Mus musculus: one gene and its partner. The protein of the gene in region 2 purifies or fractionates together with the protein of the main gene of each other region. This does not show direct contact. Links are inferred from orthologs where the notes say so. Each region holds a gene or a part of one and is shown on either strand. Other genes may lie near its edges.

What was found. The genes of interacting proteins can lie anywhere in the genome.
Region 1: the proteins of Pla2g4a (region 2) and S100a10 purify together in Homo sapiens (affinity purification with western blotting; 3 studies listed by BioGRID). This does not show direct contact. The link is inferred for Mus musculus from reciprocal best matches to the Homo sapiens genes PLA2G4A and S100A10.

The regions. Positions count from the first base shown.
Region 1 is NC_000069.6:93,558,117-93,561,616, reverse strand, and holds part of S100a10 (protein S100-A10), read right to left. Parts: intron 674-3,500; 5' UTR 654-673; coding exon 522-653; intron 1-521. UniProt on the Homo sapiens protein: Because S100A10 induces the dimerization of ANXA2/p36, it may function as a regulator of protein phosphorylation in that the ANXA2 monomer is the preferred target (in vitro) of tyrosine-specific kinase.
Region 2 is NC_000067.6:149,839,291-149,842,790, forward strand, and holds part of Pla2g4a (cytosolic phospholipase A2), read right to left. Parts: intron 3,070-3,500; coding exon 2,874-3,069; intron 1,486-2,873; coding exon 1,328-1,485; intron 1-1,327. UniProt on the Homo sapiens protein: Has primarily calcium-dependent phospholipase and lysophospholipase activities, with a major role in membrane lipid remodeling and biosynthesis of lipid mediators of the inflammatory response.

The sequences.
Region 1 (3,500 bases), on a different chromosome or scaffold from region 2:
TCCAGCAACTAACATGATCCCTTTATGGGTTAGAGCTGGAAAAAGAAGAAAATTCTTTTTGTTCAAAGGGATTTAAGAAGATTTGAGTAGAGGGGCGCTCTCCAAGAGAGCACATGCTTTGCCTGAATGGGGCCCTAGACTCAACCTGCACCTCACAGCCACACACAGGGAAGATTCAAGTTTTTCCCAGTGGCATATGACCAGAATGTGGAACTTCCGCCATGAAGATTATAGACCTAAGGTGCAGCATCCCTGGCTTATCACACACTCATGAAAAGCCTTTCCCCTCATGATGTGCCAATGGGTGTGGTATTTTCACCTGCAGATTGAGAGTTCTTTGAAGCCAGGGGTGGAATCTTTTCCACTTTGCTGCCCCTGTGATATATTAACACACAGTAGGTACTATCTACCAAGTAAATGGATGTGAAACACGCCCAAGTAGTGACCCTACAGGGAAGGGATAGAAGAAAGGGAAGGGCACTCTGATTTTTATATCTGGTTCTGAGACTTTCAGCACTTACTTCCAAAAACCCAGGGAACTCCCGTTCCATGAGCACTCTCAGGTCCTCCTTTGTCAAGTGGTCTTTGTCGCCTGCAAACCTGTGAAACGTAAGCATCATGGTTTCCATGGCGTGCTCCATTTGGGATGGCATTTTGAAGAGTCTGTCGAAACCTGTTAAAGGACATAAAGAGAGTTTGAACTAACTTTTAAACCACAGGTATGAAAATCTTTAGACAGTAATGGGAAAGGAGAAAGCAGAAGGTCTAATCACCTTTCCCATAAAATTTAATCAATCTAAGGCTCAGTTTGGGGGCTTTTGTTGGTAGCAACAGACACTTCAGGTATTGGATCTCAGAATGTGGGATTTACTCCTGTCAGCCACTCTATATGCTCCTAATCAAGAAAAAGAAGATCTAATTTTCTGGGAAAGTAGGACTAGAGATGCTCTTTTTAACTACAAAGTACCGAGTTAAAGAGATGTTTCCTTATTTCTCTTGGCACAGAACATGTAATTCTTTGAAATGGCTGAACACCAACAAGCCACAAGTCCAACTTGGTCACTATAGAAGCCTCAGCCACCCAGGCTTGAAGCAGGGACCTGGACCAGTCTGACTCTAGAGATTAGAAACTTGCTTATAGATGGGTTTGTCTGTGGGCTGTGTGCACTCTACAAACACTGAGCTCATGCTCTAGCAGTAAAACGCAGCCACTCTGTCTGAGTACACACTCCATAATGTTCATTATCAAGTTCAGCAGAGAAGGAACGAGTACCCATATATGTACAAACTCCTTCAGGAGCCAGATACACTTTTGGTATGACTACGCAGAAGCGTTTTCCTCACAAGCTGGGGTGCAATGAGAGACCAAGGGCCTTTCAGCATGAAGAGTTTAAAGAGAGGAAAGGAAATGTTAGGTCACTGTGTTTGGTACAATGAACTGGGGCAAATGTTTCGGCCAGACCCAGTGCCAAGAGGAGCTCAGTGTCCGTATAGAGTTTTGAGTGCAAATAGGAGAAGCTGGCAACTTCTCCTGCTGAAGACCAACAACAGGAACCTAGGGCATACTTTGGTCTGAATCCTGCTGCTGACAATGCCTGTTCAGATCCCTAAATTCTGTAACCCACCCCAACACACACGCACTGAACCCTACCTAGGGTCTAAGACAGGCTATCGCTGAACTATATATACACCCTGACCCTCTTTCACAGGTCTCACTAACTTGCCTAGACTGGCCTTAACTTGAGATCCTCCTGCCTCTGCCTGTTGAGTAGCTGAGTCTGAGCCATTAGGCCTGGCTTCTAAATACTATCTTTTACAGAGTCAAAGATGTGGCGCTGAACACTAAAAAATTGAAGAGTTATATTTAAGGGCTGTAATTCTACCTCTTTGCCTCAGAAAAATTATAAGAACCCGCTAAGGAATCCCACACCTGAGAACACCGTCAGTGAGGATCTGGCCTGATTCATCTGCATGATGTGGACAGCAGCAAGTTTATACTTCAAGGTGCACAATGGCATGAAATCCAGGGGAGCCCCTCCCCTTTTCCTATCTTATACTCCTTGGATCTGCCCCACCTCCCCAATCCTGGATATGGGTTTCTAATGGCATTGGCTGGCTCACAGAGAGTCTACCTTGCCTGGATTTATTTTAAAGCACAGAGTTTAAGAGAACTGAATTTCAGTCACCTAATGAAGGACATGGGATGCCACCTCAGTCCTTCAATCATTCAGGAAAGGAGCCAGATGCCAATGAAGTTTAAAGTCTGTGCCCACATCAGAGCCACAGAGCTTTCTGACCTCCTCTCAGAGCAAAGACTCCAGATTCCAGACATCCCAACTGTTAGAACCAGGTGGATATCCAGTGTATTTCCTCCCAGGCATCAGGAGAGTATACTGGAGAGTATACTGCAGAGCTAAAGAGGGTTTCCCCCTAAACAGGCCAATTTAGGACTCCTAGGAAATGCAAGCTGTAAGCAGAGGAAATCCTGGCCTCACTTGAATGTCCTCTTCAGGAGGGTGAAGTCAGGCTACCTTGCTGAGAGCTAAGGTCTGAGGTTAGTCCACTTCTTCCTGCCTTACCCAGAAGGCTATGAAGTGACAATGTTCCTCCCTGAAGCTTCACCTCTGCCCCAGGTCCTCCATCCCCAACTCCCCTGTTTTATTCCACACACAGAGCAGCCCACTGACTCCCTGCTAGTTCAAGATACTTGCAATAATAACACAGAGATAGAATCTGGCCAGAAAGTGAAAACAGAGTTGAAATTCACAGCATATGACCTTGATCCCAGAAGGCACTGACCAGGGCTATAAGAAAGGAGTTACTCTGGAGAAAGGTTTACAGTAATGCAAAAAATCCAGGTGTGGTAAGGGCAATCCCAAGAACTACGAACTGAGGACTCAGGAGTGAGATGGGGCTGAGACAGGAGAAATGGAGTTATCAGCCAGGCTGGGTTGTATAGACCCTTCGTCAAGAATCAAAACAACAAACAAACACGTGTAACAGAAATGTGAAAATGCTGTTCTCCTGGATAAACAAATGCATCATATTGTCCTTCTCTGGCAGAGTGGTCCTAACCAATCCCCCATTGCGTGCATTATAGGGGTCACTACGCTCTATAATCAGTTACTAGAATGAAAGCTTTTCAGGAACTTGAATCTGGCATCTCTACTCCACCTAACACCCCCCCAAACTTCACTCCAGATGGGGTGGGCCTTCCCCTTCTGATTGGGTAACACGTTATCATGAGGGCACTGGTCTGAGAGTTGGGGAAACCTACCTGATATATTTAGTCGGATACACCTGTTCACCTGTCTGCCTCGCCTCCAGAACTGTCTTAGTTAAGAACCACATATTATTCTGCTTTAGTTGAGACCACTAGATGACATTTGTTAAATGAATGACTCAAAGTAGAGGAGATACAGATGAAATTGTCTTTAGGCAGTTGACAGCTCAGAGCACAGCAGCTAAAGGATGAGTTCTGGGAAGGGGGGGGGGGGGTG
Region 2 (3,500 bases):
CCTCCTACACACTTACATGAAATGAAATCTAAATAACATAAAACACAACATTATTTTCAAACTTTCTCTGTGTTTCTCATGTCACAAAATTCATGTCTCTATTTTCTATAAATTATAAGCATCACTACAGAAATAAGGTAGAATGAGGTTTTTAAATATTTACTCCCATGTAAGCTTTACTAAGCATCCCATGTAAGAGTTATTAAGCATCTGTTAAGCAAATAATGTGTTACAACTTTTGGTAAGTACATTGCATATTAGTCATTGCCTACTAGAAAATATGGGCAAAAAAGGAGGAATTTTAGAATTTATAGGAACTGGAGTTTATTAGAAATATTCTTGTATGATGACTAAATTGTATTGAATTTTGAAGTATTATGGCCACTGTGTCATGATTGCATTTGACCTGTCTTTAACTGTCTCAAGGAAAATGATCTAAAAAGCATGAACACTGATGGATGTCAGTTTTCCTTTAGCACAAATCTAGTTAGGTTCCACAGAAACAACACAGCCATGTGTTCCTTCAAAGTCTTCATAATTGACCTCCATAATTCATAATCCACAATCATTCATAATTTCCAAATAGATCACCAAATCATACATAATACACAACTCTAATTATCTTTCCTTTCTTGTTTTCTTTCCTAATCCAATGAGCTCAGCTTTTACAGGTGATAATAACTCGTTAGATGCTTTGATTGTGGCCCACAAGTTGATGATCTCAATCACACAACAGCACTATAAAAGGGTGCATTTAACACTAAGCAATCTCACAGACAAAGACTTTCAGGAGCAGATATGCTAGTGATAAGAATGTTTGATACTGCAGGGAAAGCCTTGCTTCAGAAGTCGATTTCACAAAGCACACAGGCTATCTCAAAGGCTGAAATGCAGGGGACTGGAGTATTTGGTGATACTGTCAAGATCTACAAGAACCAAACATTTGAAAACATTATGCCATTGCTGAGATGTCTGCAATAATGACATTCATGGTTACACTCTCTCCTGCCCATATACTGCTCTTCCTCTACTTCCCTCCTTTTATAAATTGTTTTTACCATTAAATGGATACAATACATATATATCAGGGAAGCTGAGAAGGAACACTTCCTTCACCAAACAATGCATAAAGTGTGGTTCTGATTAGCCACAGACAGTGATGTCCTTATTCATGACTTTTTAGTGTCTACTAGATGTTAGTGACATCATTCAGGAAAATAAGGCACCATGTTTTGCATATGGTCACCTCAGAGCCATATCTGTCTTCTTAATGAATTCATGTGTAGGCTAAGGAGTTTCCATGTTATCTGCTGTGGTAGATACTCACATCAATGTTGTTCAGTGTGTTGAAGTACATCAAATCGTGAAGCCTTTTGAATGCTTGATTGGGATACTGAAAGTTGAAGGTTGAAAATGGCGATTCGGGGTCATCAAAAATGTCAAAGTCAGCAATTTCTTTCTCTTCTTTGGTTTCCCTTAGAACACCTATATGCCAAAAAGAATATGCATCTTGCTTTTGAAAACTTAAAAAAAAATTCTCCAAAACATACAAAACAAGCATAAGGACAGCACAGAGAATCACCAGAAAGCCTGTGATTCTAAAAAATTACTCCATTCCCTAGTCAGCCACACTCAAGTTGGGAAGATACCCAGCTTCCGTGCCTGCTAGCGTGGGTGGGAAGGATGACCCCATATCCTGGGTTCCTGCCTTATAGCCTTCCCCAGATGGGTCACGTTCCTCTCTGAGTAGCTGGCATACAAACATGTGCTATGTTGTCTGTCTCCCTGCCCAGTATCACTTCCTCACTCCCTTACAAATAAACCCTCTGCACTTGAAGCTTGTCCTGAGAATCTTCCTCCGGGGAAATCCAAACCAAAACATTGAACCCTACTCAACCATCAGAAGTCCCTATACTTACCAACCTCTTGGTTTCTCCCCAAGAACTACCAGTAATAGAATATTATCTAGGTTGCTTTCAGTTTAAAATCAGGGTTTCAATTTGAAACTACGGTTTCAGTTTGAAAACGAAAGATGCTAGCCAGCCTTCTTTCTCCAGGATGAGACTTGCCTCACAACTCCACTCTCACTTCTTCTTTATCCTTCTGAGAAATCTAGGGAAAAACTTCCCTATATCCCATTACCACCCAGAGTTTGTGTGTGGTGGGTGGGTGGTAATTTCTAATCACAAAATGGAAAACTGCATCTTCTGGTTTGAGAAATATTTAGCAATTAAAGCCTTAAGAACGCCATACCACCCTGAATGCACCGGATCTCATCTGATTTCAGAAGCTAAGCCAGGTTAGGCCTGGTTAGTACTTGGATGGGAGAATGCTTTTTTTTTTTTAATGAGAATCTTTTAGGATGCATTAGAGTCTACCTACTCCTTCAGATATGAGAAAACAGAGTAACCATTTCTTGAATTAGATCTCCTTTGCTGTAAAATATAATGTGACATCCCAAAATGATCAGTTATGCTGTGGGTTTTGTTTTTGTTTGTTTGGTTTTTTTTTTTAGAGAGTTTTGTGATCAATTAATACTCCCAAAGAATTTTCCATGATTTTGATTTTCATGATTTCACAAAGTTGAAAGTCAAACTATTTAAAACATCCTTTATGAATTGGACACCTACCAAACCCAAGATGCTGGTTCAATGCCCTAATCATCTTTAGCTAAGATTGTCATTCTTCTTTCAGTTTCTCTATTATAAGGAACATGAATCTTGGGGTAAAAAAAGAAGGAAGGGCTTTGGGCTCCCAAGTCACTGCTGTTTGTCATGGTAAGAGGCGCATTCCCCACAGTCACAGTTCATGTGACAATCTCAGTGTAATAGCAAACATCCTACCAGCCAGACTTCAATTTTACAGAAACATACCTGGGGCCTTGTACTTTCTGAAGTTGATGTTGGCCAGAACAAAGTGGATAATGGTTGGGCAATCCTTCTCCACATCAGGATTCTTAGGTTTAAAAACATAGCATTCCTTTAATCCTTCCCGATCAAACACATAAGGATCGATCTTTGGAAAGGGAAGCTTGTTCATTTTCGCCCACTTCTCTGCAAGCAGAAGTTCCTGCAGGGAAGAGAAAGATGCGTTGAGAAATGTCCAGTCTTCATTCATTCATCTGGTCTGTCCATTATTCTACATCCATTTTCTGCCAGCAGTTGCTAAGATAAAAAAGAAAAAAAAATCACTGTGTTCAAGGACTGTGCAAATTGCCAATATCTGTAAAAATGACTCTTTAAACAACCTCAGTACCATTACATCAGTTCTCAATATGGACTGGCTAAACAGCAGACATCTGACAAATGCATTAATGAACTGATTTGAATAAGAACTATTAAAAAGAATGAATTTATGAAATTCCTAGCCAAATGGATGGACCTGGAGGGCATCATCCTGAGTGAGGTAACACATTCACAAAGAAACTCACACAATATGTATTCACTGATAAGTGGATATTAGCCCCAAACCTAGGATACCCAAGATATAAGATATAATTT